Linked DNA regions of Danio rerio. The protein of the gene in region 1 purifies or fractionates together with the protein of each later gene. This does not show direct contact. Links are inferred from orthologs where the notes say so. Each region holds a gene or a part of one and is shown in the gene's direction. Other genes may lie near its edges. The genes, in order: amotl2a, nf2b and pals1a.

Evidence for each region.
Region 2: the proteins of amotl2a (region 1) and nf2b purify together in Homo sapiens (affinity purification with mass spectrometry; 5 studies listed by BioGRID and IntAct, with this or other methods). This does not show direct contact. The link is inferred for Danio rerio from reciprocal best matches to the Homo sapiens genes AMOTL2 and NF2.
Region 3: the proteins of amotl2a (region 1) and pals1a purify together in Homo sapiens (affinity purification with mass spectrometry; 3 studies listed by BioGRID and IntAct, counting the BioPlex papers as one, with this or other methods). This does not show direct contact. The link is inferred for Danio rerio from reciprocal best matches to the Homo sapiens genes AMOTL2 and PALS1.

Annotation. Positions count from the first base shown.
Region 1 is NC_133181.1:30,489,979-30,494,611, forward strand, and holds the start of amotl2a (angiomotin-like 2a), read left to right. Parts: upstream 1-1,532; 5' UTR 1,533-1,687; intron 1,688-2,345; exon of another isoform or gene 2,346-2,406; 5' UTR 2,407-2,412; coding exon 2,413-3,137; intron 3,138-3,225; coding exon 3,226-3,418; intron 3,419-4,633. UniProt on the Homo sapiens protein: Regulates the translocation of phosphorylated SRC to peripheral cell-matrix adhesion sites. Required for proper architecture of actin filaments.
Region 2 is NC_133196.1:27,255,351-27,259,269, forward strand, and holds part of nf2b (NF2, moesin-ezrin-radixin like (MERLIN) tumor suppressor b), read left to right. Parts: intron 1-33; coding exon 34-108; intron 109-188; coding exon 189-302; intron 303-3,036; coding exon 3,037-3,159; intron 3,160-3,407; coding exon 3,408-3,625; intron 3,626-3,919. UniProt on the Homo sapiens protein: Probable regulator of the Hippo/SWH (Sav/Wts/Hpo) signaling pathway, a signaling pathway that plays a pivotal role in tumor suppression by restricting proliferation and promoting apoptosis.
Region 3 is NC_133192.1:35,933,503-35,937,421, forward strand, and holds part of pals1a (protein PALS1), read left to right. Parts: intron 1-2,915; coding exon 2,916-2,993; intron 2,994-3,213; coding exon 3,214-3,363; intron 3,364-3,458; coding exon 3,459-3,620; intron 3,621-3,919. UniProt on the Homo sapiens protein: Plays a role in tight junction biogenesis and in the establishment of cell polarity in epithelial cells.

The DNA of each region.
Region 1 (4,633 bases):
CCCCTGTAATGTCTGTTTCAGAGAGAACAATACGTCTCTCTTTCTGAGGCATGATTAAGGGCTGGAAGAGGATTGCTCTCCATGGACAGCTGGTTGGCAGCATGCCTCAAACACACATACACAGACACCCCCTCCCCACCATCCACACACACACACACACACACACACACACACACACTCAGCAATTAACTGGCACGGGCCACAGCTTAAATATTCACCAGCCCAGAGCAAACAAAAGACCTCAGATTTCATTTATTAATGTGTATTTTCCATATGTATTTATTTAGATTTTCCACCTAATATAAAAAAACATGGACTTGAGCACTAAAGCATTTTGACTTATGAAAAATTTTAATTCAAAGCTCACCTCATGTCATTCCAAAGCCACACTGGCCTCCTTTTACAGAACACAAAAGTAATGAATGCTTATTATTAATACTAAAATACCATTTTTATGATTGTCATATTGGATTACAGAGTATAGAAATTGAGTCGGGGAAAGAGAATATCATCTCAAGGAAAACATTCAGAAAAGTATATTAATATAATATGTACAGTGCTCAGCAAATATAAGTACACCCCTCACAAATCTATCTTTTCAATTCATCTTTTTTTTTTTTTTGGAGGCCTTACAATATTATATTTGTGCATATCCATTAGATAAGTCAGTACTGAAGCCGAATCTGGAGCTGAAAAATATTAAATACAAATTTGAAAAAAGAAGAAAATCAAGAGAAGAAAAAAATTCAAAAATGTATTTGAAATTTTGTAGGTTGCATTTTTTTGCAATATTTTGCTTGAATTTAATTGTATTATCTTTCAGTTTCTAAATATGTTTGGTGACTAAAATATTATTTTAATAAATACATCTGTTTAATAAATCTTTTTCGTTTGGATGCACCAAAACACATTGCCTATATTCACTGAGAAATGGAAAAAATATAGATTTTTATAATGTGGTGTACTCAAGTATGCTGAGCACTGTAACTATGATTACAAGTATTTTTATTTTATTTTGGAAATAATCTTTATGTAAAAATAATAATTCATCATATATAAATATAGCAGTTGAGTGCCTGTAAAAAGAAAATCATCGCTGTCAAAGGTAAACATTAATAAAACTAATCTAAAAAGATAAATGACTTATTGTTTACATACAAAATACATTGTAAATACACATGAGAGAGCTAAAACTTCAAAAGAAAGCGTAGTTACAGATCCCTGCGACTTTTACTGCATTCCTCTCACTGTTAAAAAAAACGCCTTCCAGACAACAAATGCGCACGGGGCTGAGAGTGAATGCAGTTCCGCTTGTCGCGCGCACTGCCCCCCTTCAGCGGCGCGCTCCGCTTGGGGCCGCTCGGTTCTCCGGCGCTCCAGAGAGAGAGCGAGAGGAGGAGGCGGGGCGAGAGACAAGCGGAACTGCTTTTGATCCCCGAGGGACTCGCAGCCTTCGCATTCCGCGCATTCCAGAGGCCGTGAACAATCGGAGCTCGGTCATTTATTAGCAGAGCCCCTCCCGCTCTGAGCTCAGTCTGCTGGAGAAGCTCTCCAGGCGCGCACGCACGAACATACGCATGGAAATATAAGTCGTACTCAACACATTTCCAGAAGGATTATATCTTTAAACATAGAGACGAGTACGGAAAAGCATTGTAACTTTTATTCGTGATGCCACTGTGACTCGGTGAGTTTTTTAAAGACTTCTAACGCAGCTTGTTGTTGTAAACGAACTCTTTATATGGCACATTGCTTAGTTTTCTATAAGAGCGATGGGTTTGTTATTGTGGCTAAACGTTTACTCATTAAATAAACTGCAGTGTGTGCATGGAAGGGCTTTGTTTATAGGCAGAAGCCAACTTTGTTTTGGTGCATTTGTTCTGGAAGAATTTATAATACTTTAGTTGTACATTCTTTAAAGTACACTAATAGAATGAGGAACTAAACGTTTATTTCAAATCTTGTTTTCATGCTTCTTTGGTATGTTCGAATGTTTTACTACAGTTGTGGTTGTAAAACAAATATGATACACTGGATAGGAATTTGTAGTTTGTAGCAGGAAATAATTTGTGCAACTTTGGAAAGTTGTTGGATTCTAACTGAATTTTCCATTGCTTCCTATGCTAATCAATAGTATAAACTTGAGCAGAAACCCAGCTCATAGTGGGTGTTGTAGGATGGTGCCATTGGTATTTTGGGTGAACGTGGTGTTGCTATGGGTAAAGGCAGTCAGCCTAGAAGCATGTGGAGTGAGGCACCACTCACTGGTTTGTTGTTAGAGAGTGTTTCAATATAGCTGAACAATAGAAAGGATTTGCATTTGAAATATTTATTTTTTTATGCAGGTTCACAGTCTAGAAGATCTTTCATAACACAGTATCACTGATTGCTGTCTGTTAAACATAGACTGAAATGAGAACGGCAGAGGAATCATCAGGAACGGTGCTGCACCGACTGATTCAAGAGCAGCTTCGTTATGGAAACCCTACCGATCCTACTCTGTTAGCCATCCAGCAGCAGGCTCTGCGTGGAGGCAGCAGCGGTGGAGGTGCAGGAAGCCCTCGTTCATCCTTGGAAAGCCTAACACAAGAGGAATCACTTTCTCCCCAGTTGTCCGCCCGGCAAGAGCCCCAGGGCCAAGAGCACCAGGGTGACTTCCAGCATTCAGAGAGTCCTGTTTGTCACCTTTATCAGCTCCACACAGAGGAGCTGCCTACTTATGAGGAAGCAAAGGCACACTCACAGTATCTTGCCTACCAGAGAGGACAGATAGGGCTTCATCACGGCAGTCTGGAGAGCCCTGGAGGGGTTGGAGGAGCCGAACAGGACGACAGCATGTGGGATGCGAAACGAGAGCATGCACGCTCACTAAGTGAGCGTCTTTTGCAACTCTCACTAGAGAGAAATTGTGCCCATGACAATATTCCCATGAGCTCATCGCATAGTTATCCCCAACTCTCTAATAACCACTCTGATTCAGTTGTGAATGAGCAGTCAGTTCATCAGCCAGACCAACGGGGTCCTCCCCCGGAGTACCCCTTCATGGTCAGATCCCCTGGATATATGCTTAGTCATTCACAGGAACATGGACACTATTATAATGAGCCCCCTCCTGCCTTCCATTCACAGCATTACAGGTAAAATTATATTTTGGTCGCATTGTATATACTGTACACTCTATATGAACATCATGGGTGTTCTAATGTTTATTTTTGTCTCTCTCAGGCTATTTCCAACACAGCCACAAGCACCTCGTCACAATGGCCTGCCCACATTGACCCCTGCTGGCCAGGATGTCAATGTTGGAGGATACAGCATCCCAGCGAACAACTTCCAAATGGAGCAGCTTATTAAAGAGAACGAAAGACTGAAAAGAGAAGTGGACAGCTACAGTGAGAAGGCGGCAAGGTTACAGAAGGTAACAGGATTCTTTGTGTGATTGCAACTTCCTTGCAACCTTCTAGAACTGTGATGTTTTTGGTATGACCTCACATTTTGCCAAGGATGCAAAAAGGCAGCTGTGTCCTTTGATTGTGAACTCAGACATGACCTACAAAGAGTGAGAACAAGAAATCATTGTGCGCTGGTGTCTTCTAGCCTCTGCATTCTAAGAAGATTAGCTCTCTTGCCGTGTAGGAATGCATGCAAGGGAGAGGATCACAAGGACTTCAATTTAATTTGAAAAGGACACATTCTTGGTCACTGAGTGAAAATTCCCAGTAACTTATTTAGCATGCGAAACAACACTGAATTTACCCATGCCTAAAATGCCATGCATTTTTCTGTAATGTGATAATGTCATCACTGAAATACCAAAGTGTTATGGCAGAGCAAGGGGGAAAAACAAGCTTATCTTGGTGTTTGTTTTGCTAAAGTTTATTGGGCCTATTGTGTGTCGTTCAGTGGCAAAAGCTAGATTGAGTTTCAGTGGAATTCAGTCCATACATGGTGCTTGGATTAAAAACTATGTTCTTAAAATATTCTATCCTAAAACACTGATTCATGAACATTAAGCCACTATCATACAAACTACCAAATTTGAAATCCCAGTCAACTTTAAAGGGGAAGGGGGCCTCGCTGGGTTTTTCCTGTGGCCCTCTTTGTTAGGATTCCAATGGGATTCCAATAGGAGCAGATGTCTTGGCTCATCTTCGTGTCCGAGAATGAAGAAGGGGCTTTGGCTAGCCCACAGCTGATGGACTGGGCTGCAAAGCGCAATCACAAGGTCTCACAGCTGTGGATTCCCTGATTCAATGGCCCCTTTCACTTTCACTCTTGAACAGAGCTCCACACGGCACCTTTTGACCTGCTTGTGAACCTACACATGTAGGTTGCATATATGTAGTTTTTAAGTTAAAAATAAAATCCAGAAAAGGGAAGAAATTATAAAAATAAATCAGTGGTGGGGTTTTGTAAGCTTCCATATTTGTTTATTTGGAAAATTTTGTTCCTTTTGGACGATCGCTTTCTCATCCCATTTTCCATGTCATAAATGTCATACAGGTGCATATATTGTGGACTGTTCCAGTCTCTCTGAATGGTATTCCTCCAGCTTGCACATTTCCTTTGTTCCCTGTATTCGCCTTTGGCATCCTGCCCTGTAGGGAGATGAATGTGCGGACACCTGGGACTC
Region 2 (3,919 bases), on another chromosome or scaffold:
ATATTTAAACATTCTGTATTTGTCTATTCTCAGTTTACTATCAAACCACTGGACAAGAAAAAGGAAGTGTTTAAATTCTACTCATCCCAGCTTAGAGTTAACAAACTGGTGAGCTACTTCTATGAGTATTTGTGTAATAAAGTATATTCAAGTAGTTGCTCACATAAATTTTTTACTGTATATTTTAGATCTTACAGCTGTGTATTGGGAACCATGACCTGTTCATGAGGAGGAGGAAGGTGGATTCAATAGAAGTGCAGCAGATGAAGGCTCAGGCCAAAGAGGAGAAAGCTAGGAAGAAGGTAATTTTCTTCCATTCTACATATGTTAACCATAGTGGTGTTACTCCAAATTAATTCTTTTCTTTATGAATTTAATGTTTATGCAGATATACAATGAAATATAGTAAACATTTATTTGTTTAAACATTAAAATATAACTTATGCAGTAGGGCTGTTCAATTAATCATAATCGTGAAAAAAACGCAATATAAGCACATGGTATTTCTAAACCGTATTAGGCTGCGATTTTTATCTTTTTACTTTAAAATTTACTTCTTTTTATCCAGAAAATGTTCTTGTTTGCACGACTTTAATTTTAACCAAATAGAGCTGACGCATACAATCACAGATAAGCTGAGCAGGAGAAAGATGTTAACCAGCACACTCTGTGCACAACAAAGTTGAGTGGGGAACCGAATAGAGTAGCGGGAGGACAGAACATAAAATATGGATGCAGGTCAAAGTAAAAATAATTTGGTGGCAAAAAAAAATCAACGTCAGTCAATTGGGAGTATTTTGGATTCAGAAGAGAGGATGTGTCACAGAGCAAGGTAATTTGCAAGACTGTTCTAACATTTAAAACAGCGTCATAAAAAACTGCATGATCAATGCATGTCGACAAAATCCAATGAAACAAAGAAAAGCACAACAGATTGTACAAGTATCCATTGTTCAAGCATTTGCAAGCGCCATGGCTTATGAGAAAGGATCAAAACGGCACAAAGAAATTAACGACGCTATCACCTATCATATATGCAAAGATATCATGCCTGCGCACATTGTCAGTAAAGACAGCTTCCGAAAACTAATACAAACGCTTGACAAAAGATACCAGCTGCCATCTCGCACTCATTTCACACGATTTGCTATTTCCGAAATGTATGGCGGGCGTTGAACACAAGCTCAAGTAGGTGAAATACTTTATTTAACGGTCCACTATTTTAATGATAACTTTGAAATGAAAAGTGGTTGTTTGCAAACAGCATTCTTCCAAGAAGACCACACTAGAGAAAATATATCTGAAGGTTTTAAAGAAGCTTTACCATCATGCTTTGTGAAGAGCAACAAGTTATTCCCGAGGTTTCCATAATCCTGGACCAGGCTGTATCACCAGCTGCTGTGGTGGTCATGGAGGAGTGAAGCGCATGAGACTGATTCCTGTAAGACCCCAGTGACAGACGAGTCCTTGAATTGATCTTGAAGGGCCAGCATGTACGCCAGCCAGTGACCTCTCCCACCTGCAGTTTCTCCTTGATTGATGACCAGCGTTCTCCAACCTCTGGTGCCTAGACTGCAGCTCTGCACAAAACGTTTGGCCATTGGAGAAATGGTCATACCCAACTGAGCCTGGTTTCTCTCAGAGTTGTTTTTCTTTCACTTTCTCCAATTGGTGAAGTTTATTCCTCGCCGTTGTCGTCACTGGCTTGCATGGTTCAGGACTTCTGGAGCTGCGCATAAGATGGATTTGCTCTTCAGTGTTTGGACTTTCAACAGTGAAAATCACACTGAAATGAACTAAACTGAGCTTCAACTCTGAAAACTGAACTGACACAGTTTAAATTTACTATAATCTTCTATGTAAAGCTGCTTTGACACAATCTACATTGTAAAAGCACTATAGAAATAAGGATGAATTAAATTGAGCAGGTGTATTTCAACAAGTTTATTTTATGTTGTCTGTTTTAAAGACAATTTTACGACAGTTTTGTTTATTAAACTTAATACTATGTTATGTTTTGTTAAGCAAATATTGTGCACTGAATACATATAGAATGTATGTATGTTGCTTGTTTGCAAAAGCAAAAACAGTTGCCAAAATCACAAATAAAATCGCAATCACAATATTCGTTCAAAAAAATCGCAATATGATTATTTTGTCTTTATTGCACAGCCCTATCATGCAGTACATGTTTCATTTGTTAAAGATGTTATTTTGGCCAGTACCATTTATTTTACAATTAATACTTGTTTTAAAGAGTCCTGAAACAATTTTTTTTATTTCAAAGGTATTAAGAAGCTGTGAAAATTCAGCTTTGAATAAAAGGAGTATATTGTAAATATATTGTATTTGTGACAACATATATTGAGCATAAATAAACAGTACAGATTTACAGAACAATTAGTGTAATTAAAAAAAATAAAGTGTATTAGTTTGTTTATTTTATAAACTTCCTTGTTTCCGGTTGGCTTGAGTCAGAGGTCACACGATCCTCTTTGATTGATGTACCCTGCAAGAGTTGGTATGGACAGCATAGTGAGATCTCAATGCAGACACATGTTAAATGCTCCTGATTATTCCACTGCTGGTTATCAGGCCAACACGGTAAACATTATAACGGTAAACATTTTGTTTATTATTTGTTTATTTTGATTGTGATTGTGTGAAACATTTGGTTTGTTTGTTTATCTTTTTAGTTTTCACAATGTTCAATAAATAAAATGCATGGCTATCTGTATTTGGGAAGCGTGGACTGTTTAATAACCTGCGGGTAGCTACAATCACACTTAAATTAAACCAAATGTATTTGATCAAATCTATCTTGAGTAGATTTAGTCAACCTAAATATTATAAATTAAAACTAAAACTAGACTAAAACTAAAATGATTCAGAAGACTAAAATATGCCTAAAACTAAATTGGAATTTTATTCAAAAGACTAAGACTAAAAATCATTTTGAAGATTTATATTAAAATGTTTCTCATTCAGCATTCTCTTTTTTCTAATGTCTGCCTTTGATTTATGCTGTGTGTCTAGGTTGAACGTCAGATTCTTGCACGGGAGAAGCAGATGAGAGAGGAAGCAGAGCGAGCGAAAGAAGAGATGGAGCGGCGTATGTTTCAGCTGCAAGACGAGGCTCGAATGGCCAATGAAGCTCTAGTGAGGATTTTGCCAAGATTGAAATTGAGCGATGCCAAATAGCTTTCTTTCCCCCGCCAGCTTGTGTTTTATGTCCTCAAAGGCCCTGAAGTATAGAAGTATGTGGTCCAGACGTAAATTTGAGATGAACTGCAGACATATTGAGGTCTAAACCATTGTCCTGGGCTCCCATTAGAATTCCAGTCAGGTTGTGAAACTCCCTGTGCTTGAGTCTGTAAGTCTTTCTTATCGCTTTTTCCTTTCTGCAGCTGCGCTCTGAGGAAACAGCCGATCTTCTGGCGGAGAAAGCCCAGATCGCTGAGGAGGAGGCCAAGCTGCTGGCCCACAAAGCGGCTGAGGCTGAACAGGAGAGGCAGAGGCTGGAGGTCACGGCTCTTAAAACCAAAGAAGAGAAGAGGCTGATGGAGCAAAAGATGAGAGAAGCAGAACAACTGGCCGTTAAGCTTGTTGAGCAGTCAGAGAGGAGGTAGGCCATTGATATCAGTACTAGAGAAAAATTTGTATCAATAATAATCTTGATAAAGGGTGTTAAATCAGCAAAAATTGCCAGTTATGTCAGCATTTCCTCACTCTCATGTCATCACAAACCCATATGATTTTTGTTCATCTTTGAAGCACAGATATCTGAGAGAACAGAACATTCTTTTTCATTGAAAACCTGTTTACTCAAAACTTTAATGTGTCAAAACATAGATAAAATGTGTCCATATGAATCAAAAGCAAAAACATCTAAGTTCAATAAAACAAATCAAGTCGTTTT
Region 3 (3,919 bases), on another chromosome or scaffold:
ATTTTATTGCGCCAGTGCTGCCTTGTCACTAAAGTTTTATTTTTAATTAATGCAACTATTTGTCAATTGCGTGCAAATACAGTCTCAGAGTCGAGAAACAGTTTGTGCTTTTAAGCTTTTAAATTCAACCTTCTTTGTGATGTTGTAAACACCATATTACTTTACAGCGAAGAGACTGCAACATGGTGGCAACATCAAATTATGAGGCTAAAAGAAAACATTTGTTTTTAACTTCTTAAAAACAGATATTTACGTGGCTACAAAACAACGAAAAAAATGAAGCAATGTCTTGCACAGTTTGCCGTCAGTTTGGCAAGTCAGCCACCTTATTTTAAATAATTAAGATCTGCAATAAAATACCTGCACATTTTCCATACTGTTCTTTTTGTTTGCATAAGACTTTTGCTCATTATACATTTAATAACATTTAAAAAATATTTAAATTCTGCATTCACAGACGTTATTTTTGACACATTATTTAACATATAAGAAATAGCTATTAACTTTTTTTTTTGGTGGGGCCAGTGAAAATTTTGGCAGGGCTAGTAAAAATCTCAACCACTGCTCAGATTGGTAGGAAATCAATAAATCCATAGTGTTGAACCTTGAACTCCTGGTAAATCATTACATCCCTACTGGTATAAGAACATTGTTGTGTAAAATGTAAGTTAGGTTTGAGTTTAAATCCCTTCTGGTTAACATGCTTCAATGACACATGTCTTAATTTTAAGGAATATATCAGAAGGCAGTGGTTAGTTGGCCTTTTGTGGCTGTTTTTGAATGCATTTGATCACATGAGGGCTTACACTAGGAAAACTGTCCATTTAAATGCATGGTGAAAGGCTTAAAACATTGTTGTCCCTATTTATCAGTTGTCCGTTTGTGATTAGATTGCATCTTATGAGCAGTCATTTGAGCACTGGCTGAACAAGTATGTGCACAAATGAAGATGATGTTTGATGAAAAGGCTCTTTAGTTGGAGTCAGTGTTGTGTGAAGTGCTAATGAGAGCCTGATAAACTCATGGTTGTTGTTTTTAGTTCTCTCACACAGTGCAGGACAATACTAGACAGAGAGCCGCTCTGTCCTCAGCATTCATTAAGACCCAGATCCACTGACCTGTGCTCTGCTCTCACAGTAAAAGCCTCTCTCATGGGGCAGGTTAAAAACTATTCAAAATGCGGACACATCTTTTACATAGCTTGATGATCTTCTTAGAAATACTGTTTTTGTTCTCCAAAAATTTCCTGTATGTTCTCCATCAGATTGAACACGGTAGATTGTAATCACTTGTTGCCAACAAAACTTATTCCAAGTTCTCATTTGCTTTGGATTTGTACAGCTTTGTATCATGGGGTCAGAAGCCTATTTTCTACATTCATAACCTGAAAGTAAACATCTTTTCCTGTTTGGTGCAGTGCAGAAATCATATGGATCATTACCTATTCATTTAGCATTATAGGATTGTATGACAGTTGCATAATATATTATGTGTAGGTCTGCCATGATATCTATTTTTTGTTGTACGAAATATTGCACCAAAATAGATTGCGATGAATGATATTGACATTTTTAAAGACTATTTTATGCCACTCAGGGCTCGAAATTAACTTTTTTTATACTTTGTTACACCGGTGTTCCCAACTTTAAATATTTAGGAGTACCAGAAAAAGTTTAGGAGTGGTAGAGAAAATTATACACACGGTAGAGAAAAATCATTGAAAAAATTGACTTGGAAAATTTTGATCGATTATAGGTTCTAGATGTTGATTTTGATTACTTTTCGATAATCGCTCAGTCCCATGCTTAAGCCTGAGCAAGAGATTTCCAAATGAAGGATGCATCACTTGATTTTAAAATAATTACAGGAAACAAATACTATCTATAATCTTTAATTATTTATTACAACTGGAAATTAAAACACACACTGTCTGAAACCAACAATCTTTTTTTTCTTATAAACACACTTGCATTTGACCCTGTAAATCAGCCTTAACAGAGCGGTAGGGAAAATAATTGAAAAAAATTGACCTGAAAAAATTAGATGGATTACAGATTCTGAATGCAGATTTTGATTACTTTTCGATAATCGCTCAGTCCCATGCTTAAGCCTGTGTGGATTGGCCGTTATTCAGGAACTATGCAATAAATCTAACAATGTAGCAAAGCAGTAAAGCGTTTTTATTAATAACACAAAGGATAACTGTTTAAAAAATCTATTCATAAAGGAATAAAAGAATAATATACTCATCTAGGAATAAAAAATGAAAAGTTTCCCCTTTATAAAACAAATATTTCTTAGATGTCAAATCAGCACATTTATTGATTTTAAAAGGATCAGTTAACACACAAAATGAGAGTACTATGTTATATGCACAGCTAGTGTTTCTTCCCATATCGAGCGCAGAATAGCCATTTAAAATACTGGAGTAAAATAAATGTTCATATTTTTAAAGACATGACGCGGGAAAATGTAATTTAAAGCAGTGCGTTTTGTACATTCAGAGACCCACTTTATATTGTATACCAATTAGGCAGTGGAGATCATTGATTTTTAAAGAAAACAGATCTTAAACGCTCCAATATTGTAACTGCATACAGTTCACTGGAAGCGCTTGACCCAGGTTTCTACAAAATGAAAAGTCCTTCTGCATACTTCTGCATACCGTATTGCTACTGAAAAGGCTACGAAAGCGATAAAATTACAATTAATAATATATTATAACATAAACTGTAATTTTATTTTTTAATATTACTGGTTTTACTGTGTTTTTGATTACATAATTGCAGCCTTAATGGCTATAAGTGCTTAAAAAAATACTCACCTTAAACTTTTGAACAGCAGTGTATATATTGTACACATTTTGCCAGATGTGTTTAGGTCAATTAAGCATCTTTCGTATTTTGTCTGCATAGGTGGAGGTCATGGTGCAAAACAGCTCACACAAGGAAGGACTTGAGCTAAGCAGCCTGCTCTCAACGTCCCACATGCAGGTGTGTCTCCATCGCACGCACGCAAGCACGCACAAACACACACACGCACACACATCCCTCTATACTGCTGAAGCCCATAGCTAAGATCACAGTGCCTGTCCAAGGGCTCTTTGAACTCTATATCATGACATAAGGGTCAGACTCATGTCAGCTCTGCAAAGCACAGTGGCTTTAATCCTGAATGTAACCAATCATCTCTGGCTCTCTCCATGTCCTTCAGGCGCTCATGATGGCACATGACAGCGTGGCTGAACAAGAGATGCAGCTGGAGCCTCTTGTTCCTTCTGTCAATGCAAGCGAGACTCTCACCCAGTGGGGAGGAGAGACTGTCAAAATTGTACGGATTGAAAAAGCCAAGGACATCCCATTGGTAAGGAATTCTTTCAGTGCCGCTTCCCAGTTTATTGTGCCCTACTAGACTTCTGACCCATGTTTAATTGACTGTGCACATGCCTATTAATACAGGGAGCGACTGTTAGAAATGATATGGACAGTGTGGTCATCAGCCGGATTGTTAAAGGGGGGGCGGCAGAACGCAGCGGCCTGCTACACGAAGGAGACGAGATCCTGGAGATCAACGGTGTGGAAATCCGTGGCAAAGATGTCAACGAAGTCTTCGACATCCTGGTAAATATATATTTATTTTATTTTAATACAATTTTGGGTAACACTTTATTTTGATGGTCCGTATTGCACGTTTGTTGACTAAAAAGATGCATTGCAGCTACATCCCAATAACTTTTCATTTGAGTATTAGTAGACTGTCTGATTAATAGCTGTTGATACTGCTCCTACAACAGACATTTACCTGACTATAAGAAACTTTGCTAGTACATGTCCACGTACACTAACCCCAACCCCAAATTAACAATCTACTTATAATCTATTGAGAATTAGTTGCATGTAGGTGCAATGTAACTTAAATT